Linked DNA regions of Sus scrofa. The protein of the gene in region 4 interacts with the protein of the main gene of each other region in a biochemical or structural test. Links are inferred from orthologs where the notes say so. Each region holds a gene or a part of one and is shown on either strand. Other genes may lie near its edges.

The links.
Region 1: the proteins of SNCA (region 4) and VAMP2 form a complex in vitro, tested with the Homo sapiens proteins (3 studies listed by BioGRID and IntAct). The link is inferred for Sus scrofa from reciprocal best matches to the Homo sapiens genes SNCA and VAMP2.
Region 2: the proteins of SNCA (region 4) and ENSA form a complex in vitro, tested with the Homo sapiens proteins (2 studies listed by BioGRID, with this or other methods). The link is inferred for Sus scrofa from reciprocal best matches to the Homo sapiens genes SNCA and ENSA.
Region 3: the proteins of SNCA (region 4) and SIAH1 form a complex in vitro, tested with the Homo sapiens proteins (3 studies listed by BioGRID, with this or other methods). The link is inferred for Sus scrofa from reciprocal best matches to the Homo sapiens genes SNCA and SIAH1.
Region 5: of the proteins of SNCA (region 4) and SIAH2, one has a biochemical effect on the other in vitro, tested with the Homo sapiens proteins (4 studies listed by BioGRID). The link is inferred for Sus scrofa from reciprocal best matches to the Homo sapiens genes SNCA and SIAH2.
Region 6: the proteins of SNCA (region 4) and GBA form a complex in vitro, tested with the Homo sapiens proteins (2 studies listed by BioGRID). The link is inferred for Sus scrofa from reciprocal best matches to the Homo sapiens genes SNCA and GBA1.

Annotation. Positions count from the first base shown.
Region 1 is NC_010454.4:53,379,105-53,384,196, forward strand, and holds the start of VAMP2 (vesicle-associated membrane protein 2), read right to left. Parts: upstream 3,140-5,092; 5' UTR 2,999-3,139; coding exon 2,997-2,998; intron 2,489-2,996; coding exon 2,368-2,488; intron 1,910-2,367; coding exon 1,751-1,909; intron 1,671-1,750; coding exon 1,619-1,670; intron 1,008-1,618; coding exon 991-1,007; 3' UTR 1-990. UniProt on the Homo sapiens protein: Involved in the targeting and/or fusion of transport vesicles to their target membrane. Major SNARE protein of synaptic vesicles which mediates fusion of synaptic vesicles to release neurotransmitters.
Region 2 is NC_010446.5:98,526,075-98,531,402, reverse strand, and holds the start of ENSA (alpha-endosulfine), read right to left. Parts: upstream 3,502-5,328; 5' UTR 3,356-3,501; coding exon 3,302-3,355; intron 1,626-3,301; coding exon 1,500-1,625; intron 110-1,499; coding exon 1-109. UniProt on the Homo sapiens protein: Protein phosphatase inhibitor that specifically inhibits protein phosphatase 2A (PP2A) during mitosis.
Region 3 is NC_010448.4:36,358,419-36,363,664, forward strand, and holds the start of SIAH1 (E3 ubiquitin-protein ligase SIAH1), read left to right. Parts: upstream 1-2,141; 5' UTR 2,142-2,824; coding exon 2,825-2,915; intron 2,916-4,424; exon of another isoform or gene 4,425-4,487; coding exon of another isoform or gene 4,488-4,572; intron 4,573-5,246. UniProt on the Homo sapiens protein: E3 ubiquitin-protein ligase that mediates ubiquitination and subsequent proteasomal degradation of target proteins.
Region 4 is NC_010450.4:129,267,750-129,272,349, reverse strand, and holds part of SNCA (alpha-synuclein), read right to left. Parts: intron 1,891-4,600; coding exon 1,748-1,890; intron 1,529-1,747; coding exon of another isoform or gene 1,517-1,528; exon of another isoform or gene 1-1,516. UniProt on the Homo sapiens protein: Neuronal protein that plays several roles in synaptic activity such as regulation of synaptic vesicle trafficking and subsequent neurotransmitter release.
Region 5 is NC_010455.5:90,968,186-90,973,575, forward strand, and holds the start of SIAH2 (E3 ubiquitin-protein ligase SIAH2), read right to left. Parts: upstream 3,354-5,390; 5' UTR 2,903-3,353; coding exon 2,486-2,902; intron 496-2,485; exon of another isoform or gene 1-495. UniProt on the Homo sapiens protein: E3 ubiquitin-protein ligase that mediates ubiquitination and subsequent proteasomal degradation of target proteins.
Region 6 is NC_010446.5:94,582,338-94,587,444, forward strand, and holds the start of GBA (glucosylceramidase), read left to right. Parts: upstream 1-1,567; 5' UTR 1,568-1,929; intron 1,930-5,107. UniProt on the Homo sapiens protein: Glucosylceramidase that catalyzes, within the lysosomal compartment, the hydrolysis of glucosylceramides/GlcCers (such as beta-D-glucosyl-(1<->1')-N-acylsphing-4-enine) into free ceramides (such as N-acylsphing-4-enine) and glucose.

The DNA.
Region 1 (5,092 bases), on a different chromosome or scaffold from region 4:
AGACCCCATGGGAATGTCAATTGAGCACCCCACTTGAAAACTGGGGAGCAGGAATGTGGGGAGAGACTCCAAGTGGCAGAATTATTGGTCCATCATAACACACTGAACTCCAAGACACGTACACACCAGCTGGGGGGAGGGGAAGGAGGGACAAGAGGTTTGGAAAATCGGGGAAGGGGAGGCAAACTGGACTGGAGGGGCTCGGAGAGGGCAATTCTGGGGGCCAGAACAGCCTGACACCCCCAATGCCCAGGCTCCCTACCACCTGCAAGTAATGTCATGCAAATGAAAAGTGTGATACAAGGACCAGACCAATAGGGACTAACTCCTCAGTAAAAAAGAAACACAAGTTGAAAGAATGAACAGAAGCCTGATGGAGAAAAAAAGGAAACCAAAAGGGATGTCAGTATGCAAATGATGCTAATTAACATGCTGGAAGCTCCCAGAAGACCTTGGGATTCTTAGGACCAAAAGGGACCAGTCTCAGAGCCTCCCAATGATGCAAAGAAGATGCACCTAGGGAGTCCTGGACAGCTGCTTTTCTTTTTTTTTTTTTTGTCGGGGGGTGGGGTGGGGTGAGGGGGTGTATGGGGAAGACCAGGGCGGGAGGAAGGATCAGCTAAATCCAAGGGAAGGAGGGGAGGAAGAGGGACTATTGCATAGCAGATGCAAATGAAGGGAGTTGGGGCCGGTGAGGAAGAGAGGGAAAGGAGAGGAGAGGAGGGGCAAAAGGAGGCGATGGGAACCTCAGGAAGGGGTGTTAAGGACAACCGGAAAAATCTTCTAGTAATAAAACTACAAACAGACCAAATATATATAATATTATATATGTATAAATAACAGCTGGCTATTTACAAGGGGGCACACACACGACACACACACGCGGATCCCGGGGGAGGAGGGGGCTGGAAGATATGGCTGAGAGGTGGAGGAGCGGCTGGGGATGGGGGGGAGAGGCCCTTCTCTGGGCAGGGCAGGCTCCTCAGGGGTTTAAGAGCTGAAGTAAACTGCAGAGAGGGAAAGAGAAGGAAGAAGAGGGGAGAAAGAAAGAGAAAGAGAGAAAGCAGCGTGTCAGGCCCGGCCCTGCTCCCACCTTCCCCACCTCCCAGCTGGCTGACCGTCCCTTCCCCTCCTGGTCTCAGATCCTCCATCTGTAAAGCAAGGAAGCTGCACAGGTCAGCTTCAAGGTCTCCTCAACGTCACGGTATGGCTTTGGGGCCACAGACCCCGAATCCTCGGAGCCTCTGAGACCACAGCTCTCAACCAATAGGGTGGTTGGCTTCCTAGCCATTTCTCAAGCCCCTGAGTCTTCGCTGCTCCCCCACACCCCAATTCCAGGGTTCCCATACTGGACAAACCCAAAGGGTCCTCAAGGGAGCAGTGGAGATCTCCACCGGCTTTCCGGTTTCCAAAAATCTTACCAGAAATTGCCCAGAACCAGGCAAAGTACAAGCTCAACAACATTGAGGTTTGGGGTGCTAGATGAATCAGAACTGCTATTGGCAGCTCTGTGTGCTCTTTGCTGAATAGTAAAAACGAGGTTAATGACCTTCAAAACCCAGACGTCAGGGGGGAAACCTCTCCAACAAAGGGGCCCGGCCACTCCCGCCCGACTCACCAATGATGATGATGAGGATGATGGCGCAAATCACTCCCAAGATGATCATCATCTGGGGGCGAGAAGGGCCGGTCAGGGAGACAGGCGGGGACACTCCCGGCCACCCACCACTCCTCCGGCCTCCACCCTTACCTTGAGGTTTTTCCACCAATATTTGCGCTTGAGCTTGGCTGCACTTGTTTCAAACTGGGAGGCCCCCGCCTGGAGTGCGTCGGCGCGGTCGTCCAGTTCCGACAGCTTCTGGTCCCGCTCCAGGACCTTGTCCACGTTCACCCTCATAATGTCCACCACCTGCGGGAAGGGCGCGGGGATGGGGGGGGGAGACCCATCTCAAAGGGCTCTCCTCAGCCAGGAGCCCACGTACGAGACATGCACCCTAGGGCTGTCTGGCTGACATGCAACAACATATGCGGAGCATGCCCAGCACACCTGGGGACATGCAAGGAGCACACGTCAGAGGCATGCTGGTGGCCAGACATCTCATATCACAGCAGCACCCTCTATTTACCGAGCCTCAAGCAGCCTGCGGGTCACGAGAGCACACCCGCCCAGGGTGAAACGGCGCAGGCCAGCAAGGCTAACACCCCACGGCCCTCCCAATTACACGACGTCAGGAACGCGGCTTGGTATGTTTTTGTCTCCGAACGCGAAAACGTGAACTGCCATCACCCTCAACCCACGATGGACCCCCAGACCGCTTTGCCATCCTCAGGGTCGTTCCCACTGCCTCTGCCCCCCCCACAACTCACCTCATCCACCTGGGCCTGGGTCTGCTGCAGTCTCCTGTTACTGGTGAGGTTTGGAGGGGGCGCGGGGGGGCCTCCCTCCCCAGCTGGGGCGGCGGGGGGTGCGGTCGCAGCGGTTGCCGACCTGAGGGGCACCGACGGATTAAGATCCAGGCCCTGGAGCCCTCGGCCCCGCAGCGAGGGCTCCGCCCATCCGTCTGTCCATCCATCCGTGCCCCCCTTCCTCCTTCTCGGGAGGAGAGCCACCCGAAGGGAGCCATGGCCTTCGCCCGGCCCCGCGGGCAAGCGGCCGCGTGACCTTGAGGGAGGCCCCCTCCCCCCTCCGGGCCTCAGTTTCCCCGCCTGTCAAATGAGGGCGACCTCACAGCCACGGTCGGGGGGACCCGCAATGAAAGGCGGCAGCGATGACAGGGGCGGGGCGGGCGGACCCTGCGTCTGCTCCCTCCGGCGCCAGCGCCCGCGCGGCCGGCCGGGGACCCGGGGCTCTCCGGCTGCCCGCGCGCCGTCACGGGCGCCGGCCTGGCCTCCGGGCGCGCGGGGGGCGCGGGCTGGACCCCGAGCCCTTCCCAGGCTCGGACGCAGGGGCGGCGGCCGGCGCGGGCAGCCGGGGCGGGCGCAGGCGGCCGACTCACATGGCGGGGGCAGCGGGCGGAGGACTTGGCAGCAGCAGGGGTGGCGGTGGCGGCGGCGGCGGCTCGCGCTGGCTCCGACTGGCGCTGGCTGCCCGGGACGGGAAGATGGCGGCCGCACGTCACCCACATCCGGGCACTGCGGGCGGGGGCGGGGCGCCGCGGGCCACTCGGCGGCAGCCGGGCCGCGGGGGCGGGGCGTGGGGGCGGGGCGCGGGGAGCGCAGCCCGCCCGCGGCGGGGCCCGCGAGGCGGGGCCCCCGGCCTCTCCCTCCACGGCCCGAGCCTGGGGGCCGCGGCCTACCCACACCCATGGCCCGGCCCTGATGGCACCCCTCGGCCCCAAACACCTCCTCCGTGAGACCCGTCCGCACCCCACCCCGACCCAGGTCTCAGCCCGCCCCCACGGTCCCAACGCCTGTTGACCGGTCTTCGGCATTTCAGATACGGGCGGGAGATGGGAAATCAGAAGGGTCACGTGCAGGTTCCGGGGCGATGCAGACAGGCGAGACCCCGCGGCTGAGGTGGAGTGGTGGCAGCTGGTCCCCAAAGCTTGCCCGCAGGTGGAGATCTCAAAGGAGGTCTGGGACAAGGAACTCTCTCCTCACAGCTGGGGTTCAGACCAGGGGTCCTTGGCAGCCTGGGCCTGACCGACAAGAGGCAAGCTTAGGGGCCTAGGAGGAAGGCAAGAGGCTGCCCCGTGGCGCTGCTTCAGGTGCGCCTGCAGACTGGCCCAAACCTGGCTCTGACCCAGAGTTGGATCAGCTACCCTGCAGCGGGAGGGCTCAGCCTCTGACCCCAGGCGAAAGGACAGAACTTTAGCTTTTACGTTTTGTTTTTTCCCTGGGGGGGCAGGACAGTAAGGAGGCAAAGGCAGTCCCTGCCTCCTGGGAGTGACCTTGGATAGCCCTTTGCCTGTCTCTGGACCCCAAATAGATTACATACTAGACACTACAGGGGTATTTGTTAAATGGCTTGATCCGGGACATGGTAGGAGATTATCCCCGGCCCCTTCCATCCCTGACTTGTCTCTGTTTAGATCCTCCAAACAGACCCAGCAGTTCACACACCCCCTCTGCTCATTCTCAGCAGGACTGGTCCCCTCAGAGAGGACAGGCTGAGAACAGGTGAGCTGCCTGTCCTGTGGGGTAGGTCAGATCAGCCTAAAGAGTAAAGAAGGTGGTACCTTGGGGGGGGGGTGGCTAGTGGCCCTGGAGCGAGGGTGCTCACTGCAACCCTGGAAGTGGGCAGAGGGGGCTGGTGGCCTTGGTCTCTGAGACAAACAGGAGCTGGCTTCCTCCCTCCCCCACCCAGGCCTCCCAGGGCCTCCGGGTGTGACAACCTCCCCCATGCAGCACCCCACCCCCTCCCAGCAGAAGCCTGGGCCAGGCTCTGTCACCAGAGGTGTCATTTCCCAGCTGTGTGGGGGAGGTGAGTGAACAGGGAGTGTGTGCGGGGTGCGGGGACTCAGCAGATCTAAGATGCGATGCTCTCAGCTTCTCCCCCTCCTGGGCGCTGCCACTGCCCTGGTCCCATGCACTCACACACACACACACACACACACACACACACACACAGTGTCTGGGTGGCTCAGTCAATGTGAAAAGGAAGAAAAGAACAGCTTCCCTGAGGGTCCTAGATGACGCTGCAGGGGGCTAGCTCTTGCTTTTTGGCCCTGAGACTACTCTGCTTTCTAGCTAGAGAACAAAAATGCCAGATTCCAGGCTTTTAAGTTCAAAAGCTGTGGTGTCTGTGTCTAAGACAGATTAAGGTTGGAAGGAGATACAAAGAGGCTGGACTTCCCACCGCCACCCTGTCCCAACACCCTAAGCTGGCAGGGGGCAACCAGTGGAGGACCAAACAAGATGTTAGACAGGGGGTTAGGAGTGATCCCCATTCCTGGATGGTCAAGTCCAGGGGACGTGCAAGGGACAGAACCTGGGATAAATTGGAGGAGCTAAGGCCATGGGGTGTGGCTTGGAAAGCTGGCACATTGCTGTTGCCCTCAGAGTCTGGGGGCGGCAGCAGCAGAATCGAGATGGGAGCATGGAGTTCTCTTGTGGCACAGTGGGTTAAGGATCCTTGGGTCGCTGCTGTGGC
Region 2 (5,328 bases), on a different chromosome or scaffold from region 4:
GGATGTGGTCACCAGTCACCAGGTTCTTGTCTGGTCCTGCACTTGGCAGCTGCTTATTCTTCATCTTGGCTTTGGCCATGTTGTAGTCTCCTGAGTCAAAGTACTTTTGCTAAGAGACAAGAGGGAGGTTTAGGTGAGTGAGGCACGCTGGTCTTCCTCAAAAGCAAGGAGACTCGTATCCATTATAAACCTTCATCTACACTCAGATCTTTCAAATCTTTTTTTTTTTTTGATTTTTTGGCTGCACCTGTGGCATGTGGAAGTCCCCTGGGTCAGAGATCAAACCTGCAGTAACGAGAGCCACAGCGGTGACAACGCCAGATCCTTAACCCACTGAGTCATGAGGGGACTCCTTTCAAGTCTTTATTTACCTCATACATACATAGCTTAGCATTAATTACAAACACCTGTCTTCTCCCCATCGTGTTCTTTCTCAGGTATATAAGCAATTTCCCAGCTAGAGTACATATTTTTGGAGTTAAGAGACAGCTCCTACATCCTTTGTAGCCCCACGAGTACAGGAAGGTTCAACCAAATTACTGACTATTCATAAAGGCTTACTGAGGACCTATTAGCCTCTAGTGGGCTTGGTGTTGTGGGAGCAGAAATGAGTAACATACATAGAAGGGTCGATCTGGGGCTATCAGCAGATCAGTCTCAAACTAAACCTCAAAATTAAAAATTATTCTCTCAGACTATGAATAGAAACTGGGCTTGTTCATGAGGATAATGTACTTTCCTCTGACTCCTACCACTCCCACACATGTTCCATGGCTGTGACAGCCTGCCCACGCCTGCCTTGCCGACAGCAAGGTAAGCAGCAAATCAGCATCACATTATCATCTGTGACTAAGACACAATAACTGGGATTCTCCACAGGGATCTGTTTCCCTCTCCATTTCATCCTCACGGAGAAACACCCTCCAGGTTAATGACTTACGATCCCTTAGTCAGCTTTAGGTACGTCTGGGGACTGAGAAACCTGATCAGGAGCTAGATGGCTATGAGGGTAAGATTCTCCCTTGGTGAGAAGGACCACACTGGACAGGAAAAATAAATCTCTTCAAATGTCTGAAGAAATCTGCTATTCATATCAAGTTGAGGAAATCTGCAGGACAGATGGTCTGATCTTTTTCTGAAATGGTGCATCCTAAAATTTAGCTCAAATCCTAAATGTGTAGTCCTAAAACTCCCACCATCTAAACAGGCAAATGTCTGGAAACTGTCAGCATTCCAGACTCTAACATCCTTTCCTCACTCCCCCAACCTTGTGCCCAAATGCCCCTACATTAAGCCCTAATTTCCTACAGGGGAGATCAGAAGATAGCTGATAACTTATCAGGTATTTACAGTATCTGCCTTGTTTTTCCAAGTTTCTAATTCTTCTCTACTACTTCCCCCAAACAAAACCTCCAAATCAGTATTCACTACAACGTCCATAGGTCTCATCCCTAAGGCTTTCTGTGGCTCCAAAGAGGGTAAGATATTATGCCCCATACCCCTTTCTGGAGCCTCTTCATGAGGAAGTCGGAGCCTCCAGGCTTTTGTCCTAGGCTTGGATATTTGGCCTTTAGCTTTGCCTCCTCGGCTCTCTCAGGGAGAATACCTTCTTTCTCCTGCGTGTCCTGGAGGAAACAAATGGGCCAATAAAATTAAACACTGAGAAGCAACTGCTTCTAATACTGATAACTTTTATACTCTTACCTTTTCCTGGAGATCTACCCACTTGTAAATATGCTATCTCCACTCTATTTTTAAATGAAGCTAACCTTTGTTCAAATCCCTAAAGCCCAAGATGACTGTATTGTGAGAAGAGAAAGATATGCTCCTTCTCACACTACACCCAAGGAACCACACCAGTGACCTGTGAGTACTGGGTTAAAGGTAATATATAAGCACGATACTTGAATCAAGGAGCGAGTCATAGCTCATTCAACATGAAGCTAGGAAAGACAGAGAGAAAGCTAGCAGGGCTTCTGGTGATACAAGATGAACAGGAAAGTTCCTTGGCTGTCCCTAACACGTAATACAGGTCAAATGGGATATCAAAGTGGATAACTCTCCTGAGATGTTCCCTTCTAAGCTGGTTATCTGAAAAGTCTCTCTTTGGAGGAGCATAACTCTGTGGCCTTCTCCAGAAATCTTCACCTTAGTAACAAGACAGCATTGCTTCAGCAATTCCATAAACATTGTCATAGGAAGGTGACAAGTAAACGGATTAAAATGACAGTTTTTAACTTCAGGAAAATCATGATACAGTAGGTCCACTAGCATTTACCCACCAGCTTTGCTAAAAAATCAACATCTTTCCTAGTGGGGCAAGTGATGGAAGTTTGGGTAACATGCCAAGAGCCCAATTAGCTTGCAGGGGCTCTTACTGCGTTGTTACTCTTCTTACTTTTCGTGGGCCCTGCTGCCCTTTTCTTTAGTGACTTTTCAAAAAAGATTTGAAGCCAATCTGTGGCTCTTTTTAAAATGGATTTACTTTCACTTCTCTTGGAAAACTGGCAGATACAACACCAGGTATATATCATGAATCCCCGAGTCCAATACTAAATGTTATGTCAAATACAAATCTCCAAAGAGGTTGACGTGTTTTCATCGCATAACTGCGGGTGAACTAAGTCCCCCTGAGTTGGAAGTCTGGGGAGAATATTGTGGCGTCTTTCTTTGTCATTACTGTCTCGGTGTCTTTTCTAGGATTAACCTCCGTGATTCTGTTCAGAGCCCTAGTCCTCTTCAATCTTATTCGGTCTTCTTTGAAGGTGGGCAACAGGCCATCCCCAGTGGTCAAAATAGGTCTCTCGAGAAAGTTGCTGTCTTAAACTAGCCATGATAATAATTCCGCTTCTCCCTTCTCCCAATGTGGTCCTTTTTAAACTTCTTTCCCTCGACCTGTATCTTCTGAGGATTTAGAATGCGGGCCCCTGCCTAGATGTTGGGTCATTTTACCCCTACTAACCAGTAACACACAGAATCCTGGGACCACCAGCCCCCTTTCATTCACCGAGTCTTTCCAAACACCCGCCCCGCGCCCAGGCTCGGCCAATTATAGTACAGCTCCAAAGGGCTGAGCCGAAGACCCATTGGCCAATCAGAAAGGTTACAACACTGAATGACAAGCCACCCAACTAACCAGCGCCAAAGCAGCAGGCCTTGTTGAGGCTCACCCTGCACGACGCAAGAAGCGGCCAACCCCTGCAGAGCCGGAGACCATGGCGACCAATCCGCACCGGTGGGAGATCGTCTCCCGCCCCATCACGGTCGCCCAGCTTGCCCGCCCGCACCCCCTCCATTTCACCTGCTTCTCCTCGCCGGTCTCCTCCGAAGGGTTCTCTTCTTGTTTCTGGGACATGGCGGGGCCGGGACTGTGGAGTGTAGGGGACCCGGGAAGTCAACTGGAGAAGGGAAGGGGGAGGGGACACGGGACAACCTGCGCGGCTTGTTCGGCTCCTGTCACTAGGGTTGCTCAGTCAAAATGGCGGCTCTTGCCTGTGACGTTATGACCGCCCCTTCATGTGCGAGCCAATGGGAGCAGGATAGATGGGGCAATGACGTAACGATCTACCAATAGTTGCTAGCTAAATGTGGGGTCTGTGGAAGCGACGGGCAAGCTGGAAGGCCAATCTGCCAAGGGAATGAACCACAGGGACCAATTGGAAACCCGTGGGGGCTGTTAGGGGGCGGTACGGCTAGGTTTTTTTTTTTTTTTTTTTTTTTTTTTTGCTGCTCTGGTGGGGTCAGGCTTCCTCCGCTCCACCGCCCCGCGCGCAGTAGGCTTTGCTGGGCTTCAAAATGCAGGGCGAGAGGATGTAAGCCTTTTATTGTCAGTTAAAGAGGATTAAACTTTGCTCAGTGTTAGCAGAAAATGATCAATCTCCAGAAATTAATTTAGAGGTCAGAGTGGACTTTAAAGTGGTACTCCACACTACTCCAGTGTGTCACTTGCCATGTGGAGAGACTGAGTCGCCTTGCAGAACACAGATGGCTTACATTCCGTGGTTTTACTTTTATGTACAGTTTTTTTTACTTGTTCAGGGTCGTCCCATGAAGAATAAGCTTCTTTTGAAACAACAAATGTCTAGGTACATGGTAAACATTTAGTAAATACAGTTAACACTTGCTAACCTATCCTGGGTCAGAGTTCAACCGTATTTTTTTAGCATCTGTAGATGGCACTGTATTGTTTTTACAGGGGATACATATGTAGTAAGGCAGTGTCTGCTCTAGAAAGCTTAGTTTAGTGGGCATGTGGGGAGGGTTAGGTTTTTCACAGAGTGCCAGGTGTACCCTAAATCCTTGAGGTTAAATAGACATATCTTCCTAGAGTGTTGGTCAAAAAGCATATTTAAGTATTAAAACAGTCTAATAATAACACTGAAAAATTCACATTAAAATTTAATTTTGGGGTTCCTGTTGTGGCTCAGTGGTAACAAACCTGACCAGGATCCATGAGGATGCGGGTTCGATCCCTAGCCTCACTCAGTGGGTTAAAGATCCGGGGTTGCTGTGATCTGTGGTGTAGGTCGCAGATATAGCTCAGACCCCACATTGCTGTGGCTGTGGCATAGGCTGGCAGCTAAAGCTCGGATCCAACCCCTAGCATAGGAAGTTCCGTGGGCAGTGGGTGTGGCCCTAAAAAAAAATTAATATTCCAGGCAGCCTATTGTGACAGCCCTGGGGCTTTCCGTTCATTTTTTCTGTATAATTAGATATACTTCTAATGGAAAAGTTTGAGAAGCATAGAAAACACAGCTTTTATCATATGAGGCAAAGTCTGGTCAGCATTAAAATAAAACTGTTAATAAAAGTGGTATAGGGGTTCAAAGGAAGGTTCAGAGTCCCTGCCAAAACAGAAACAAAAACAAAAAACTTTGTGATGGAGGTGAGTATTTGAACAGCTTTAAAGAATTTAGAAGTTTGCCAGGTAAAGGTGAAGGAAGAAAGGGTATTCTAGGTGATGGGGTCAGCATGAAGGCCAAAAAAATAGAATTGAGTCCAGAACCTGGAGGGCTTTGAATGCCAGGATAAAGAAGTGGCGGCATTCCCGTTGTGGCTCAGCGGTAACCAACATGACTAGTATCCACGCGGACGAGGGTCTAGTCCCTGGCCTCACTCAGAGGGTTAAGGTTCCTGTGTTGCCATGAGCTTTGGTATAGGTCACAGATGCAGCATGGATCCTGAGTTGCTGTGGCTGTGGTGTAGGCTGGCAGCTATAGCTCTGATTCAACCCCTAGCCTGGGGAATTTCCATATGCTGCAGGTATGGCCCTAAAAATAAAAAATGAAAAACAAAACAAAAAATAAGTGAATAATTTAATAAAACAGG
Region 3 (5,246 bases), on a different chromosome or scaffold from region 4:
AGGAAATACATCTAAAAATCACCAGTATCCTACCACTCACATAACTAACATTGGTTATTTTCTGGTGTATAGTCTTCCTCATTTCTTATACTTTCATCCCAGAAAAATCATGTATGTTCTGTTTGTAAATTGCTTTACCAATACACCCTTCTTCCTTGTCTGACACTATTTCTCCTTTTTAAACTTTTTTTTGGATAGGAAACTATCAGCTTCCTGTTGCTGCTCTAAGATAACATTTCCACAGGTTCAGAGGCAGACACTAGGATGCAGACATCTTTGGGGGAGGAGGCATTATTGCAGGCCACAGAACATTTGTTAACTGCTTAAGAAAATGAAAAGCCCAACATTGTCTCTTGATTAGAGTAGTCAGGCATAAGGTTATGATGAATCAGAGAAATTCGTCTTCGGTCATTTATAATAGGAAACAAAGCTTCCCATATCAAATCGAGAAAAGTTTTAAGTCCATTTACTCTAAGTTTGTTAAAATGGCCAAGTAATGGTTAAATGCTCTGAAATTAAGGCAACATAAAGGCTGATTCTAAAATGTTTTTTGATTTAGATTAAAATCTAGTTAAACTTTATACCAAATGAGACTTGAGATGTAGGCTTTAGAAAGGGTAGGTAATTGGTAAATTTTGCGTTTTTGCTAACTTTGGATTCCATGGGCTTGTCTTAGTGTAATGTAGTTTTTGTGAAAAATTTCCTTCCTTGTAAAACCCATTTAAATAAATAATCTATCTAGACATTTTACTATATTGTGCTAAAAATTAAATGACAGTTAATCTTTGGTATACTTGGTCTCTAGTTGGTGACCTCAGGCAAGGCAGGTTAACTTTTGGAATTATGTAAGTGAATACTTCCATATTTTGGAATCTGTACCACCTGTAATGTACGTAATTTACCCATCTCCCTTAATCCATGTAAAAGCATGCAAGGCTGGCAGTACTGTTCTGATTTTACAGTTGAGTAGGTGGTGAAAGCTGGGTTTGAATCCCAGTGTAGATGACTCCGGAACTCTTCCATTTTTACTGTCGTGACTGACTTACTGAGAAATGTGTCCATAGATTAATGGTTTTCAGACAGTGTTGTAAGCTTCAATACAGGTCCTTTGGAAGTTGGAGGAAAAAAACTTTTTAGTTTGAGGAATTTGTCATCCTTTTTACTTGTTTTACAAATTTGGACTCTGTCTTCATACTGTTTGGAAAGAGTTTTTCTGCCTAAAACATTTAAAAGTCTTCTACTTTAGAAACCCAACACCTAGCTAGAGTGAATATGTATTAAAAAATAAAGACATTGGTAATAATAATTTAGATTTGTCCGTGGACAGATTATATTTTCAGTTATGTTTCAGTTCCTAATGATGTTTTGTCTAATATCAAAATGAGACTGAGGTGACTGAATACTATTAATAGGATGGGGAAGTGATTTGAATTAAAATTTTATGCTGAAAATGGACAATCTACAATTTACACAGGGTTCACTCTCCACTACAAGCTCTTGCTCCCTTTAAAGGCTGCCCTAAGCGTGATGTAATGACAGGTTAAACCTCTGAATGCTGGAGCTGACGCAATGAGAATCTGAGGCCCAGGACTTTATTGGGACAAGGGTAATGCTTGTTTAAAAACAAAACAAGCTATTTTGTTTAATGAGGGCGTTTAAGATGGCTTTCCCAGAGTGGGAAGAGAATAAAATCTCAATTTGGACGTTGAAGTAGAAGTTTAATATGGTTATGTGTTTACGACTCTCACTGCGACGGCTTCTCGAATCGAGAAAGGAAGTTTGAAATAAGGTGCTGACGGCGGTAAAAATGGAGAAGTGAGTTAGAATTGAGGAAATAAGGTAGTTGACATCTGATAAATAGTTAATGAAGTAGACAAATGCTTTTGCTATATAAAAATCCGGAGTTTGCACGGTTAACTGGCAGAGTATAGAGCAGAGAAGAGTGCTTGTCTGGCCACGTATTTTCCATATATTCTATGTAGCGCTATGAAACCACCCCAAATTGCGATATCCGACTGTTTGGGCCTACTGAAACGGAGTGTTTCCACCTCACGTAAGCCGGTGGAAAAGCTGAGGCGTGCGGTATGTCTCCGGGGATCGCGAGGTTCTGCGGAGCTGGGTAGCTGTGTGGGAGTTGCGCGCTGCATGCTCGGGATTCTTGCCAGAGCCGTGCAGGAGCGACTGCGAGCCCTGGAGCCGCCCTAGGCCGAGTGGGGCGGAGCTTGCAGCCCCGCCTCCATGCGCCGGCCCGCCCCTCTCCTGCCGCGGCAGCCACCGCCCTGAGTGCTTTGAGCCTTCGGCCGGCTGGCAATCTGCGTTGGAGCAGGCTCTCCCAGCGGCAGCCCGGCCCAGGCCTCCAAATGGCTCTCCCCGCGGGCCGGACCCTGCAGCGGTAGCTCCAGAGCTGGGACTGAGAGCTGCACCGCTTCGTCCAGTCGCTGCTGCGCACTCTCCAGCCCTGTCCTTCACCGAGCTGGCCAGAGCCTAGCCGATGAATTTGGGAAGACAAACTTGGGAGACAGACGAAGGTTTAGGGCCCAGCAGAGGACAGCTCAGCAATGGCTCCCATTTTTGGAGACGCAGGCGAATTTGAGCTCATGGGGAGGTGTGGTCGACTCCTCTCGGGGCGGGAGGGTGCTTCATTTCTCTGCCGCTGTAGCCGGTGCTTCTGAGGAGTGAATGGAGTGTATGGGGCATGGCACGTGCCTTCCTGTCTTGAAAAGTTGACCCTGGACAAATTTAGGAACGGAAGGTGTCCAGTAGGGCCCTCTGTTACAAATAGTCTCTATTCGTGGGGGAAAGGCTATGAGCTGCCTGGCTTCTCATGACCGGGAAGTCTCCCTTACCTTTTCTGTACTCCTGGAGGGGCGTCTTGCTCACTTGTTTACCAGCATCCGGGACAAGGAAGAGAAAAGGTATTACTGTTAAGAGACTGGGTTGCTTAAATTGTGAATTGGGCAAGTTGTTATAAGCTGGTGGAATTTGAATGGATCAGGGAATGGCTGCAGCGTAATTGAGCTGGAGATGTTTCTTTTGAGCAGCTCTACTTTTCTCAGTTTAAAACAAACTTCAGGTTATGCAATGACTCCTCCAGGGTTGTCCAGACACTTGAATCCTTGATTCCTACTGCAGGTCTGCTGTGTTCTTAGGATTCCTTTTCTGTTTGAAGATGGAGCTGGGTTCCATCTTCTGAGCTTTGGGAGGTTTTAGCAGCTGCTGTCCTGTAATACTTTCATTCATAAGAATTACAAGCTACATTTTGCTTGCTTTTCACACTTTGAATAGGAATTTAAATCGTGCTTTTTCTACAGTGTTTGGAAAAATAATAAATATGTGTTATATCATAAGTCTGAACTATTGATGATAAATGTGTAACTATTTTCCTAGGTCAAGAAATTAAACAGTAATGCTTTGCTTGCTTAGTAGTTATATTATGTTGAATACAAACTGAGTTTACTGCCTCCTGACGCGATTTGTTGTTTTGGCGTAGTGAATTGAAAGGCATTGGTGGCTTAGATCATTTTGTGCTGAAGGAACCACTTCCCAGTTACTACGTTGCTCTCTTAAAATAAGCAGCATAAAATGGACTATGAAGTAAGCATACAGCACACATACAGGGCATTTTGGTAATGCTAAGCCCATTGTTCTGCTAGTGACCTAAAATAAAATGCATAGATCATCATATGCACAAAAAAATCTCCTGGGGAAAACTGGATTACAGGAGAGTTCCTTTATATTGGTCTAGAACACCTGGGTTACACAGGGCTTCAGATGGTAAGAATTGATTCCTGTTGTCTTAAATCCTTGTGATGGGCCACATTATGATAGAATCCTGTGGTACTTTTGTTTCTCCTTGAACTTTAGTCCTTTAGTGACAGTGATCTTTCCGATAGAATAATTACAGTTAGGGAAAATATGAAATCTGAAGAGTTAAATTTTAGTTTGATAGAAATATGGCTTAGGGTTCTTGGGAATATACTCTTAAGGACGTCCGTAGACTGATCTTTTGTCATCCCCAAGAAAATGGCCTACCGTATCCCAGCAAAGGTAGATTCCTGGGAAAAGCTGCTAGTTTATCTTTCATTCACCCTGACACATAGTTAACATTGTTGATCATTTCTTCCAGATGGCATTTATTTCATAAATAGTGTTTATTGGTGTGCTGATGAATGCTTCAGCAACACTGGTGAACTTTAGGGTACGAGGCATTCTTTACCTGTTGACTCTATCCCTCACCTCCACTGTTGTGTGAGTCTCTCTGGTGCTTTTGATCTTTATTTTCTTGACTCTCCTTCACCTTTGCAAATTATACTGGTTTATATTGTAGAATGGAAGTAGAATGATTTACTGTGTCTAAATACTGGACTCAGAACTTTTATGAGAGGATGGCCCTCCATTTCTCTTCTACTTTCTCACTTTTGAAGGGGGCATGGATCAGTAGGAAACAAGATTAATTCCTAGCTGGTGTTAACTTTCCATGAAGATGGATGATGAAGAGGAGGTGGATGGTGGGATGGCAGCAGACCCTTCCCCTTGTCGCCCCTTTCATTCCCCAAATTACTCCTAGAGCAGGTAACCGTTCATCATTAGGAGGAATTAATCAAAGTCAGTACCCTGGTGATCCTTTGGATCACATGTAACTCCCTGGAGCACATGTAACAGCTGACTCAGAATGAGTAGGGGAGGTGGGGGAGAAAGTCCAGTCAAAACTGATTTTATTGCACTTAAGCTCCTTCTTGTTTATGGTCCAGTTTCTATTTTAGCATTTATTCCACGTAGTCCATCCAAGTATGATTTTTAACATTTTTTTTTTTTATTTTTTTTTATTTTTTTGTCTTTTTGTCTGTTGTTGTTGTTGTTGCTATTTCTTGGGCCGCTCCCGCGGCATATGGAGGTTCCCAGGCCAGGGGTTGAATCGGAGCTGTAGCCACCGGCCTACACCAGAGCCACAGCAACGCGGGATCCGAGCCGCGTCTGCAACCTACACCACAGCTCACGGCAACGCCGGATCATTAACCCACTGAGCAAGGGCAGGGACCGAACCCGCGACCTCATGGTTCCTAGTCGGATTCGTCAACCACTGCGCCACGACGGGAACTCCCTTTAACATTTTTTAGAGAAAAGGAATTCTAAATGTGCTCTGGAACCTTTTGAGAAGAGTACAACTCACGTATTTGTGTCAATTTATGTTTTTTTTTTAAAAGCCTTCTTTATTTCCCTGTATTCTCTTGCTCACAGTAAATTTT
Region 4 (4,600 bases):
TCTCTCATTATACAAGGAGGAGTCTTAGGAGATCTTCAAAAGGTCATTCAGCCCGTTGGCGACAGACCAGGGATGAAAATCAGCCATTTAAACTCTCAGTTCAATTTTTTTTGCTACAACTGTGCTGTAATTTCCAGGTTTATGACTTCATTTTCATATTAGAACTTTGTAAGACCCTATAAGTACCCATAAGAGAAATCTCTCCAAAAGTTAATTTTGTCACATCATTTAGATTTGTGCTTTAAAACATTAAAATAAAGAGCACTATTTTTGGATGGGTAAAAGCAAGCCCAATTTTGTAAGAAATGAAATATTTGCATGCCTTGTTAGCAATTTACATTAAGTGGCAGTGAGATGGGGATGGCACACGTTTCCCTGGTTTCTTAATATTCTAAAGCAGAGAATTTTCCCAGTTCAATTTGGTTGTTCCATAATTCCCAAAAGAAAGGTAAAATTTGAGGAAGGGTTTGAGGAAGCAACATTAGTGGATGGAAAAACACTGCTGGTTTTCAGTTCATTACAATTGGCTATGTGACCTTAGACTGCTTCCTTCTCCTTTGTGAATTTCCTCACCTGTACAATCAGGACCTTGGTCTCAATCATGGCTATATTCCAAGATCCCTGCTTATCGTTTATTTCCTTTCTCTTCCCACCTTAATGCAATCAACATTCCTTCATTATCTCCTACATGTCAGTCACCCTTCTAGACACTTGTGAAACATCAGTGAAAACTAGTATATTCCATCTCCATGGTGCTTGTTTATTGGATAAACAACATGCATAAAAATAAGTTATTATTTTTAAAGATAATCAATGGTTTGGCCAAAAAAGAAGAAAAATACAGAGTAGGGAAATTACGAACAGCAGAAGGAAGAGAATGGCTCCAATATAATATAGGCCAGGAGAGACCTTACTGAGAAGTACTGTTTGGCATAGACCTGAGGGAATGAGGGAGTGAGCCAAATGCTTAAATTCAGGAAAGAATTTTCCAGGAAGAGTCAAGGAAAGGGTACGCCTTATGTGTTCAAGGTAGCAGGGAAAAAAGCAAGAGTCATTCTACTGCCATGGTCATGAAACCTGCAAAATTTCATCTTCCAGTTGACATCTCATTTTCTGTTGCTTACTTGTTAAGAATGAAAGTCATAATAACTCTTGAATAACCTTCCTAGAATCTCATTTGCAGAGAAAGGCAAAGTCAGAATTCTTCTGAGAATCTTAAAATCACCGCAAAACCACAGCCTCTGGCTGGTAATATAGTTTAAGCCTCTCCGTTTCCAGAAACATATATTTGGAAATGAACTCTTATGTAATAAGCAAATGTAACATTTAATAAGAGATGATGTCACCCCGAAAAAAATCAAGTAAAAGAGTCTCATTTGAACATTGAGAGATTGCGCACAAAGAATTTGCTATATCCCAACAAAGAGAAATTCCAAGATTCCAAGCTGACATAAAAGCACCCATTCTTTCTGAAATGTCACTGTTCTTTTGAACATTTATTACACTGTTCATTTCATCAACTTTCTTCCTGGAAAATAAAACAATCACACTTATTGTACAATCTTCATGGCATTTATCTGGGTAAATACCTCCAAAAAGAACATGCATATTAAGGTAGTATTTTTTTGTGAGGGAGGGTCAAGCAATCCCCCCGCCAAGTAAGCATCTTATTCCTGCCTAGTGTCTTGCCGGAAAATGCACTGTGATCTCACCAGCTTTCAATATAACATAAGATACGCAGCCATACCTTGCCCAGCTGATCCTTTTTGCCAAAGCCAGTGGCAGCTGCAATGCTCCCTGCTCCTTCCACTGTCTTCTGTGCTACCGCTGTCACCCCTGTCACCACTGCCTCTCCAACATTTGTCACTTGCTCTTTGGTCTTCTCAGCCACTGGGATAAATCAAGAACAACAGATTAAGGGCTTTTGAACCAACAGCAACTTAAAATAATTAAACATCCACTAGCCATGATCTTCTAAAGATGTCTATTTGCACAGGTAGATACCTAAAGAGTCTGAAGAAACAAAAGCTACAGAGATTTCTAAGTGAGCATGGCTTAGCCAAACACAGAATCATTGCTAAGATAGTCTATGGTAATCATGCAGATATTAAAAGATGTTTCAAGTTCATGATCACAAATTTAGAGCCAGGAGCAATTTCAGTTTGGTTTACATTTTACTGAGGAAAGTTTACAGAAAGCAATGCTTACAGGTGCAGCTGTATCAACCTCAGCATGACATTTATTTCTTTATTTCAAGACCAAATTTTCAATCTCACTCAGCATGTTTGTTTCCCCACACCTTCGGAGTCACACAACACATATGTGCTCTCACACATTAGCATCAGAAATAAATAAAGGCTGATTATGAAGGAACTTTGATCCTTTTACAAAACATCAAGTATAAAAATAGAAGGGTTTTAGTGATCAGATTGGTTTTCAATCATGTTAATGGAAACAAAAGAGCTAGGCATGAACTAAAGTATGAAATTGAAATAGCTTATTGAGCACACTTACAATTTCTTTTCATTAAACAAAATATAGTGACTCAGTAGATTTTTACAAATAAGTTAAAAATTTAAGAAGATGGTGTAAATAGTTTGGGATTAGATTTTAAAGAAATTAATCTCCTATCAAAAAATCTCTTTGAGTTCCCATTGCGGCTCAGCAACTAAAGACCCTGACTAGCATCCATGAGGATGCGGGTTTGATCCCTGGCCTCACTCAGTGGGTTAAAGATCTGGCGTTGCCGTGAGTTGTGGTGTAGGTTGCACACATGGCTCGGGTCCTGCGTTGCTGTGGCTGTGGTGTAGGCCAGCAGCTACAGCTCCGGTTGGACCCCTAGCCTGGGAACCTCCATATGCTGCAGGTGCAGCCCTAGAAAGAAAAAAAGACCAAAAAAAAGTATTAGTATCTTATATAACTATGTATGTGATGACATTGCAAATATCAAATACAGGAAGCTCTGTCAACAAAGTTCGTTCCAATGCAATTAAGACTTTTAATGACAAGGCAGTAAAAAGATGAGATCCTGCTCCTTTAAATAATTTCAAGGGCAATAGAGAGATAAAACAACCTTTCACTTGAACTTCATAACAATTATACATGTCAGATATGGGCCTTGCATTCTTATCTTTATCAATGCAATGATTGCTTTCTTTTCTCTTTGCCTCACAAACTCATTTCTTGTCTGCTGTTTTTCCACATCTCAAGAACTTAGGGTTTTTCATAATGATTTTTATTTTTTTCCATTATAACTAGTTTACAGTGTTCTACTAGTTTACAGTGTTCTATTGTACAGCAAGGTGACCCAGTCACACATACATGTATACATTCTTTTTTTCTTACATTATCAAGCTCCATTATAAGTGACTAGATACAGTTCCCAGTGCTATACAGGAGGATCTCATTGCTTATCCATTCCAAAGGCAATAGTTTGCATCTATCAACCCCAAATTCCCAGTCCATCCCACTCCCTCCCCCTGGCCCTTGGTAAGCACAAGTCTGTTCTCCAAGTCCATGAGTTTCTTTTCTGTGGAAAGATTCTTTTGTAACGTATATTAGATTCCAGATATAAGTGATATCATATGGTATTTGTCTTTATCTTTCTGACTTACTACACTTAGTATGAGAATCTCTAGTTCCATCCATGTTGCTGCAAATGGCATTATTTTTGTTCTTTTTTATGGCTGAATAGTATTCCATTGTGTATATATACCACTTTTTCTTAATCCATTCACCTGTCGTTGGACATTTGGGTTGTTTCCATGTCTTGGCTATTGTGAATAGAGCTGCACTGAACATGCGGTGCATTTGTCTTTTTCAAAGAAACTGTGGCTTTGTCCAGATATATGCCCAAGAGTGGGATTGCTGGGTCATATGGTAGTTCTATGTATAGTTTTCTAAGGCATCTCCATACTGTTTTCCATAGTGGTTGTACCAATTTACATTCCCACCAACAATGCAGGAGGGTTCCCTTTTTGCCACACCCCTGCCAGCATTTGTATTTGTGGACTTATTAATGAGGGCCATTCTAACTGGTGTGAGGTGGTATCTCATGGTAGTTTTGATTTGCATGTCTCTAATAATCAGGGATGTAGAGCATTTTTTCATGTGCTTGTTGGCCATCTGCATATCTTCTTTGGAGAAACATCTATTCAGGTCTTTTGCCCATTTTTCCATTGGGTTTTTTTTGCTGTTGAGTTGTATAGATTGTTTCTATAGTTTAGAGATTAAGCCCTTGTCAGTTGCATCACTTGAAACTATTTTCTCCCATTCTCTAAAGCTGTATTTTTTTTTTTATGGTTTCCTTTGCTGTGCAGAAGCTTGTCAGTTTGATTAGGTCCCATTGGTTTATTTTTGCTTTTACTCCTGTTGCCTTGGGAAACCGACCTGAGAAAATATTTATAAGGTTGATATCAGAGAATGTTCTGCCTATGTTCTCTTCCAGGAGTCTGATGGTGTATTGTCTTACATTTAGGTCTTTCAGCCATTTTGAGTTTATTTTTGTGCATGGTGTGAGGTGTGTTCCAGTTTCATTGATTTATATGGCGCTGTCTGGTTTTCCCAGCACCACTTACTGAAAAGACTATCTTTTTCCCAT
Region 5 (5,390 bases), on a different chromosome or scaffold from region 4:
ACTTCAGCTTTATAAATCTCATACATGCAAAAGTGACCCCTCCCCACCAGGTCACTTTCTAAGCTTGGTTCCTGGTCTGTAAGGGGATGGGTGACCTTGTTTAATTTCAGCTGCCAAGTGTCCGCTTCATCCAACTGCAGTCTGACAGAATGGGAACTTTAAAAATCACTGACAGATACAGAAACGCTGGGTACCCTTGATTCCCAAGAGAACTCTTCTTCCAGAGAGACTTTATTAGCGTGTTACATGTTAGGAAAGAATGGATGCTTCAGTAGGTACCAGAATTCTGGATCCTGAAAGTGAAATTTCACACTTAACACAGCATGTAGTAACTGTCTCCTTCCCTTTCTCTTGGGAGAAACAGTGTTCTTATGATATTGCTTTAAAAAAAAAAAATTAGGGGAGTTCCTGTTGTGACTCAGCGGGTTAAGAACCTTACGTAAGTCTTTCTGAGGATGCCGGTTTGATTCCTGGCCTCACTCAGTGGGTTAAGGATCCGGGGTTGCCGTAAGCTGCATCACAGATGCAGTTCGGCTGCTGCTGTGGCTGTGGTGTAGGCCGGCAACTGCAGTTCTGATTTGACCTCCAGCCTGGGAACTTCCATATGTGGCAGGTGCGGCCCTAAAAAGCAAAAAATAAAAAAAATAAAAATATTAGGGATAGCTGAATCAAATGCTCTTTTGTGAACTGTAATTCATCTAAAGGCATTTCTTCTCTTGGCCACTGAAGGTTCAGGGGAAAGTGAAGGGTGGAGAAGATGGCTCCCCAGAAACCCTGTGGGGCATCCCCCACCTCCTCACCCAGCCCCTACAATATAGTTCAAACCTCAAATTCAAACCTCTTATGTCACCTATCACCAAATCTTCTCATGATCACTAGGTTCCCACGTTTTCATGACCCTAAGAAAATTCTACAACTATTTTGTCTAAATTTCATGACAAACTACTACTAGACTGGGGAATTAGTAAGCATTACATGAGGAGTGGTTGAAAGCAGAATAATTTATTAAGGCTGATGAAAAACCCCAAACATGGATTCAGACCCTTATTTGAGTATGCTATTTTAAACTTGACTTGTGGCAGGGCACAGACCAAATTAAATCACTCATTTTACTGACTTAAGTCCCAGCCTTCAGTTCTCTAGTGGATTATTTTTAATTTAAAAATAAGCTCTTGTCCTATAAAAGTAAGCAGCACCAAGGAGAAACGCAATACAGCCTAAATGGCCCAAGAGGCAGAGTGCTCACTTTTACAAACAAACAAACAAACCCTCAAAAGTATTAACGACATTAAGTTTAGAAGAAGAACTTTATGGTCAACATTCTACATTATAATGAGGTAATATAGATAGGTATTTCTCTGAAATGGCTCCTGAAGATTTTTAAGTAACAAGACATTACCATATGACCACACAATGCTGTATTATACAGCCTCTAAAATACAGTGAGGTAGAGCTATGTTTCAGACATAGAAAAACACGATGATATGAAGTTAAGACAGCAAGTTGAAGAAGCCATTTTTGGAGAAACACTTATGTCTGTGTGTGCATATATAAACCTTCCCACACTGACATCTAGGGTTCTAGGGTTCTATATTCAGCTGCGGAGAGTATATTTATATATGGTTAGAAAAAGCCTATGAAGATGCACACTAAACCTGACACTGGTGGGAGAGGAGGTGAGAGGTCTTGGTCTTTCACTTGTTTTTTCTTGTCTTAGTAGTTGGCTTTTTCTTTTTTTTTTTCAAGAGCATGGATAACTTTTTAAACTGAATAAAAAATAAACCAATGTTCTTTAAAGAACTGTAACAGCTCCTGAATGCCCTTCCTGTTAAATTCCTGATCAACTCTTGTTTTCACCCCTTAGTAAAAAACAAAACAAAACACAAAACTCTGAAGGCTAGGAGAGGGAAAGGCATGGCTTAGAGGGTTTTCTTATTGTTGGAGGAAAACAGGCTATAGGTACCCTTTTTTTAGCCTCATTCCGGAGGGCTCCCACGTGTCAGGGGTGTGCAAAAGGCTCCCATGTGTCAGGGGTGCGCAAAACCATGCAGGAGGAATCTAGTACCACTCCTTCCAAGGCCAGTGCTGGTAAAGGGTGCGTTTAGTTTACCCTTTTCCCCTTCTTCAATCCCTCACAGATGGTCAGCTTCCCGATCCAAGTTTTACTTGAGCGGCCCAGCTCTACCAAGCACACCCAAGTACACGTCTGCAGAGTACGCAGGCTCCCGGTGGGAGAGCTGTGATGTGTTCGAACAGCGATCGCGTGCCAGTTAGGCTGGGGTCAGTGATCGGGCAGCTGTCACCCCAAAGCTACTCCCAAAGTGGACAGGTGGGCATGGGGGAGGGTGGACAAGGTGTAAACTTTTGTTGTTGTTGTTGTTAAAATAAGAGAGATGCCGCCTGCCTCCCAGCGCCTGCGAGTGGTTTGGAGGATAAGGGAGTTTCAGGTCGCCGGGAAAAGTGCGCAGCTGGCACCTGAGCTTACCTTGCAGGGAAACAGGACTGCCGAGGCCACCTTCTCCATAGCCAGGTTCCTGATGCTGGGCGTCAGGGCGCCCCTGCACGTCGGGCAGCAGCTCAACTTCTGGCGGCATTGGTTACACACCAGGTGCCCGGCCTGGCACTGCAGGATTGGGGGCAAGACATAGTCAAAGCAGACCGGGCACTCAAAGAGCGAGGTCAGCTCGTGGTGCTGCGGGGACACCGGGCCAGCCCCGCCGCCGCCTCCGGGGCCCGAGATCACCGCCGCCGCGGCGGGCACCGCGGACGAGCCGGGGCCCGCAGCCGAGATGGTGGCGGCGGCCGGGGGCGCAGCCGGGGACGGAGCGTGCTGGGGCTGCGGCGGCGGCTGCTTGTTGCAGGGTTTGTTAGCGCTGGGGCCGGTGGAGGACGGGCGGCTCATCGCGCTCTGAACCAACCATGGAACTGCGGGCGCCTGCCTGCCGCGGGGCCGCCGGGGTCAAGGCGGTGCGCGCCCCGCGGGCGGCGGGCTCCGGGGCAACGCCACCGCGCCCAGCCCAGGACCAAGCAGTGAAGACAGTCGGCGCCGGGCAGGCGGGGGACTGGACCACGCCGACGATCTCTGCGGCCCCGGGAGCTCCGAACTCCCCTCCGCACCCCCAGACTCCTCCTCCCCGCGGCGTCGTGGCCCCAAAGCCGAGCTGTACGCAGAACCTCGGCCCACCCGCTACCGGAGCAGCAGCTGACGCAAGCCCCGGGGGCGCGCGCGGACGTGACGCCTGGACACGTGTGAGGCCGCCCAGGCGCGCGGGGACTGGCGGAGCCACCCTGCGCTGGGGCGCCGGCTCCGCCCGACTCCAGCTGGCAGCGCCGGGGGCCGCCTAGCGCGGGCGCTTCCTGCCAGGGCTGCCGGCCCGGCCCGCGCCAGTGAGCATGCCCGACTCGCCGCCGCCGCCGCGCGGGATCTGCCTTTCCGGGTTGCGGAGGGGGCCGCCCTTCAGAAAGGCGTCGCTGAAGTCCTTTAGCCACACCCCGGGGAGACACGCTGACGCGTCCCGCGGGCGCAAACCAGAAGGGCAACTTTAGGCGGGGCTGGGGCTTGAGTGGTGGGCGGGGCGGGACGCGGGCGTCCTTGGACTGGTCGGAAAAAAACGAGAGGTTAGTTACGCTTTCCCGGGTTGAGTCAGCAGAGAGCTGAGAAGGCGTGCGGCGCCGCCAACCTGGCACTTAGGATGGAGCTCTGGGTCGAGACACGGAGCTTTAGGCATGGAGCAGGACGAGGGGCTTGGATCAGGTCTGCAGCGGCGCAGGATCTAGCGCTGGGCGCTTAAGGATGTGTTTGAACCACTTCTTGGTCCTGCTGCCTAAGGCGGGGAGGAGGTAAACTATTCCTGTTGTCATCTGACCTGCCGAAGCCTTCGTTGAATTCAAAGCATCTGACTTGCTGGCAGGCCCGGGAGGCAGTTCGTGGTCAGTGTTTGCTAAAAAGAGAGTTCGAGATTGCCAGATTCTAGGAGTGCCAGAAATGTGGCTTGGGTCTTGAAACACGCGACGACAGTGGGTGACCCCCTCCAATACAACACAGCCTCATCTTTGAGACCCGTCAGAAGTGCACAACTTTGATGCAAGATGTGGGTACTCGTTTTGCACGCCAAGCCGAAGCCTTAGAGAAGGGTGGTAGCCTGGAGGGAACCACGAGTTAATGTGTACTGAGTTAAATTGCTTTTCTGCTTACTTCGAGCCCCTGACCTTGGAACTGGGGGAAGGGGCTACGTAGCTGGGAATCAGGCGATTCCTTGCAGGAGAGACAGTGGTAAGGAACAACAGTCAGGCCTGGGTGAAGAGCGGTGTCCTCCGCTTACCATCTGTGTGACTTTGGACAAGTTCTTTATTTCTCTGCGTCTCAATTTCCTTATTTGAAAAAGTGGAATAAAAACAGTACCTCTCTAGGAGTCCCTGCAGTGGCACACTGGGTTAAGAATTCCACTGCAGTGGCTCCCGTGGCTGGGGAGGTGTATGTTTGGTCCCGGTGGGGCAGTGGGTTAAAGGATCCTGTATTGTCCTGCTGCATCCTAGGTCGCAGCTGCAGCTCGGACTCAGTCCCTGGCATAGCATAAAGGATGCAAGGGTGCAACGAAAAAAAAAAAAAATCACCTACAGCCACCGTAAACAAAAAAAACAAAACCCCAGTGCCTGTCTTATAGGTGGGGTGGTGAGGGTTAAATGAGTTTGACTTATGCCAAGAAACTGGCCCATCATAAGCACTGCTTAAACGTTAGCTGTTATTATTTAAAAATGTTATTAGTGAATTTTACCGTTAGTAAATATTAGTGAATAAAACTTGTCCAAGAAATACTCTATTAGAGCCCAGAAGAAAGTTTAATCTTATACAGGGTATCTAGAAAGCCTACGTGCTTGAATTGGTGGAATTAATCTAAATCATGAAAAAAATTAATAGATGTGATGTCATTCAATCATTCAGTAGATATTTCCCAAGCATTTATTATGTACCAACCACTGTTTGGGCTCTGAGAATGGTTCTCCTTCAGTCTCATTTCTAGTAAGGGAGCAATGCCAATAACCAAACACTTTTGGAAGATTTCAGAAGAACAGGTGCCATGGGGTGGGGATGAAGGCATTGTAGCAGCAGCTAAAGCAAGATGCACTGGGGCTTGGTTAGGGGGGCAGTGGGGATGGTGCATGGGAGTCTCAGTTGGCCTGATAAGACCTTTATCTCAGTGACAAGGAGTAACCCCTGTAGGTATTTGAAAAGTGCTGTGAGGTGGTGGCTGAATCTGGGTTTTTGGAAGGATGCTCCAGGGGAATACAAAATAATAATAACTGATATTTATTGAGTGCTCACTGTGTATGGGGCATGACTGGTTCAAAGGACTTCGCCCCAATCCTACTTGCTAGGTACTATTGTTATC
Region 6 (5,107 bases), on a different chromosome or scaffold from region 4:
CTCCACTCTGTAGGTGGCCCTGTCAAGATCCACGGCTTTAGAGTTGCCTCATGGCACAGTTGGTTAAGGATCTGGTGTTGCAGCTTGGGTCACTTCTGTGGCATGGGTTTGATCCCTGGCCAAGGAACTTCCACATGCCATGGGAACAGCAGAAGAAAAAAAAAATCCAAGCTTTAAATGCCAATTATGTGTTCATGGATAACTCTTCTAGCTTCAACCTCCAAACTGACATCTCTGTTGGATGTTTAATGGGTATCTCAAGACTCAACATGGTCATAACAGAATTCTTGAGGCCCACCCCCAGCACCTGTTCCTCTTTCAACAGTCCCATCTCAATAAGTGGAACCAGAACTCATCCACCTGCACTTTTCCAGGCCCTGATTTCTTTTTTTTTTCTTTTTTTTTTTTTTTTTTACTTTTTAGGGCCACACCCATGGCATACGGAGGTTCCCAGGCTAGGGGTCTAATGGGAACTACAGCTGCCAGCCTATGCCACAGCCACAGCAACTCGGGATCTGAGTTGCATCTGTGGCCTACACCACAGCTCACAGCAATGCCAGATCCTTAACCCACTGAGTGAGGCCAGGATCAAACCCGCAACCTCATGGTTCCTAGTCAGATTCGTTTCTGCTGCACCATGATGGGAACCCCACCTGACTTCTTTTCCCTCATCCAGCCCTACCCTGAATTCATCTATGTCTCACCAGCTACCTAGCCCAAGTCTTCGCCTCTCCCAGCCTCTGAATGGATCTATTTCCATGCTTCCTATAATTTATTCTCCACTCAGCAAAATAAGAAATCATGTCACATTGAAGTTCTGCCTAAATCTAATGGCTTCCCATTCTCCCAACTCCTTTGAAAGTACCGCCAGGCACAACCTAGTCCACTCTCTGCTCCAGCCAAACTGCCTCGTACAAAAGCCTTTACACCAACTAGCGCTTCACCAACGCTAAACGCTGTGCCCTGTAGCTGTTGCTTTCACCTGTTTCGGATCTTAGTTCCATCTCACCTTCTCATTGAGCACTCCCCATTCTATCACACCGCCAGGTTGTTTTGAACTCTTATCACTATCTAAAATTATCTTGTTTGTCTGTGTTGGCCCCTAGAATTCAAGCTCCTGAGTGTAGGGACTTGGTCATTGCACTGGATCTAACACTTAGTCGGTCCTCAACAAACTGAGCAGTTACTAAAACGCAGAGTGGGCCCTTGTAACCAGCTTTGAGACCCTATGATTGGGGGGGGACCTCTGGGGCTCTACAGGAAAGGAACAGGGCAAGGGAGGGGCGCTGCCCATAGATGGCGTCAGGCTGCAAGGCTTCTTGAATAATTCACCATCCTAACAACTCAGCCTCAGGGAGGGTTAGGGCGCGGCCAGGACGACAAAACAGTAGGAGGGAGTGGAGATTGGGGTTCCCTACGGGGCAATTTCTGGGCACTGGATGTTCCCTATCCTGAGGCTCCCAGAGGAGGAAGCTCAAGAAACCAGCTCAGCTTCCGTAAGGCGGACTCAAGGAAAGAGTTCAATCTCCCCTCTTAATTGGGTGTGCGGCTAAGCGTACACCAAGGCGCATGCGCGCCTCTCGCTTCCCGCGCCCTTCTTCCGAGTAGACCCCGGAATAGGTTTGCGTCCTCCTTGGGCCACGGCTGGTCAGCGGAAACAGTCCGTCCCCAGCATGACCAATAAGAAGTGCGGAAAGGGGCCCCGTCCCGCCTCCTGATGATTAGAGGGTCTCCCTTCTCGAGCGAGGTCCCGCCTCAGCCCCGCCCTGTGGGCCCTGAGGGTCTCGCGGCTGCGCGTGGTGGGGCTGCAGCCTCGCTCCGGCGCGGGCTCCGCTGACCCCTTTCTGCCGCCCCGCCCACCCCGCTTTGCAGGCTGCGCTGGGATTTCCCTTCGCCTCCGGTTGGGGCTGCTGTTTCGCTTTGCCGACGGTAGGCGTAATGGATTTTGCACTGTTTGGATCTTAACTGTCCCTTCCCCTGCGTCTGCAGTTCATCTTTTTTTTTTTTTTTAAATCATCATTGTTATTATTAATAGTAGGGATGGTCGTATTTTGCTAATGAAGAAGAGGGAGAGAATCTTCAAATTTTCTTCTACCCACTTGCGTTTTTGAGGGGTAGAGTGGGAGGAAGGTCTGTGTAATTTATCCATGTCTTCAAGTCATCCGAGAAATGTTCAGTGAGCACGGGACCAGCGCCGGGTGCTGTGCTACCTACTGGGGATACAGACTGATCCCTGTCCTGGGTTTACGCCCGGACAGATGAGCAGGCAAACGAGGTGGCTATATAACTGATATTAAGCCATTTGTGCAATGAATTGCAATTGTAATAAAAGCTACAAAGGAGAGAGATGTAAGGGCTGTCAGCTTGTGTTACAGGATGTGTGTGTGTGTGAAGGGAAGAGAATTTCTTAGAGAAAATGACATATGAGCTGAGTTCTGAAGGAGAGATGAATAGGCTTTAACTAGGCGGAATGGAGGTAGAGAGCGATGCATACTAAAGGAAGAGATTTTGTGAGGATTCTGAGGCAGAAAGGATGTAGAACAAGGGGTCCAGTCCATGGCGGGCTGTCATTGGAGGCTGGTCTCTCTGCCTGGACACTTGCCCCTTGTAGTCTGATTTCTACACAGCAGCCAGAGTGATCTTTTAAAAATATAAATCTGGTGTGGTCACTTCCCTGCCCCAAACTCTCCAGTGAATTTCCATCTTGGAACAAAATTCAGACTCTTCACTGTAGCCAAGGCCCTACAGACCTGCAGCATCTGATCCTCAACATTTTTCTCCAAACTCACTTCTTACCACTGCCTCCTTACTCGTTCTGTCCAGCACTCCCTTGCTTTGTAGTTCTCATAGCTCCCTGAAATGATTTTTTTTTTTTTTTTTTTTTTTTTTTTTGCCTATCACCCCCTTTAGAACATAAGCTCCATAGAGCCAGGGACTTTATCATCTCATTTATTTCTGTAGCCTCCGGATCTAGAAGAGTGCCTGGCACATAGGAGATGCCCAATTATTATTTGTTGAATGTGTGAATTGGGAAGCACATAGCAGGGGTGCCCAACCCTCTCAAGGGTGTTAGGAAAATGGATGCTGATGGCAGAGACAGTAAGGCTAAGGACTTAGTGATGCAAAAAGAATATTCATTTTTTCAGGAGAAGAAAATATAGCGTAGAACAGAGGCAAGATGGATGGTGGCCTATTAGAGGAAATGTGATTGGAGCATGTGGTCCAAGTGGAGAGGTGAAAAATGAGGCTGGGAGTTCTCATTGTGGCGCAGCAGAAACGAATCCGACTAGGAACCATGAGTTTGCAGGTTCCATCCCTGACCTCGCTCGGCAGTTTAAGAAACTGGTGTTGCTGCGTCTCTGGCATAGGCCGGCAGCAACAACTCCAATTAGATCCTTAGCCTGAGAACCTCCATATTCATCCCACAGGTACAGCCCTAAAAACAACAACAACAACAAATGAGGCTGGAACAAAGATGCCAGATCCCATACACCTTCGTAAAAGGCATCGTGGAGCCCTTGAAGGATTTTAGGAGAGTGGTAGCTTCAAAATTTGTTTTTTGTTTGTTTGATTGTTGATTTTTAGGGCTGCACCTGTGGCATATGGAAGGTCCCAGGAGATGGGCTGAATCAGAGCTGTAGCCACCAGCCTATGCCACAGCCCAGGCAACTGGTGATCCAGGCCACATCTGTGACCTACACCACAGCTCACGGCAACGCTGGATCCCCGACCTGCTAAGCAAGGCCAGGAATCAAACCCGAGTCCTCATGGATACTTGTCAGATTCATTTATGCTGAGCCACAAGGGGAACTCCAATTTTATTATTTTATTTTATTTGGAGGCACTCATGGCATGCGGAAGTTCCTGGGCCAGGGACCAAACCTGAACCACAGCAGTAACCAAAGCCACAGCATTGACAGTGTTTGAGATTTAACCTGCTGAGCCACCAGGGAACTCCTTTTTTTTTTTTTTTTTTTTTCTTAAAGCAAGAGCAATTTTATTTCTTTTTTTATTTTTACTTCTTTGCTTTTGAGGGCCACACCTGCAGCATATGGACGTTCCCAGGCTAGGGTTCAAATTGGAGCTGCACATACAGGTCTACACTACAGCCATAGCAACTCCAGATCTGAGCCTTGTCTGTGACCTACACCACAGCTCACAGCAACGCCAGATCCTTAACCCACTGAATGAGGCCAGAGATTGAACCTACGTCCTCATAGATGCTAGTCAGGTTTATTACTGGGAAGCCACCACGGGAACTCCAAGCAAGAGCAATTTTAGAGCCCAGAGGGCCCAGCATTAGCTGGGGGTGTAGGAAGTGCAAGAGAGGACTCATCAGGTGTAGCACCACCTTCCAGATGTTTGCCATGAGTAATGTTATCTGCATTGTTGCATGAAATCCTCATGACAACCCTGAGGCAAGAGTTTTGGAGATGAGGAAACTGAAGCTCCAAGAAGTCAAGTGACTTCCCAATATCTCAGTTCTAGTGAGAAATGAAGCAAGGATTTCAACCGTGTATAGTCACTCCAGGGTCCATGCTAAATCTCCCTTCCGTATTTATTGCTTCTTCTTGGGATGGAAGAGAAATGGAGGTGGCCAGAGGGAGCAAGGGTGGAGGTAGAGGTCTCAGACAGACTCCTTTGACTGTAGCTGGAAGGAAGAATCAAAGGCTGAATTACAATAACAGTAATATAGAGTTCCCCAGTGGCCTAGCAGGGTAAGGATCTGGCATGGTCACGGCTGTGGCTCAGGTCACTGTTTTAGCAAGGGTTTGATCCCTGGGCTGTGAATCTTTTTTTTTTTTTTTTTGCTTTTTTGGGCCACGCCCGAGGCACATGGAGGTTCCCAGACTAGGGGTCCAATCAGAGCTGTAGCCGCTCGCCTACGCCACAGCCACAGCCACAGCAACGCCAGATCCAAACTGTATCTTTGAACTACACCACAACTCATGGCAACGCTGGATTCATAACCTACTGAGTAAAGCTAGGGATCGAACCCACAACCTCATGTTTACTAGGTCAAATTTGTTTCCCCTTCGCCACGACGGGAACTCCTGGGCTGTGAACTTCTGCGTGCCACGAAGTGGCCAAAAAAAATCCTTAATAA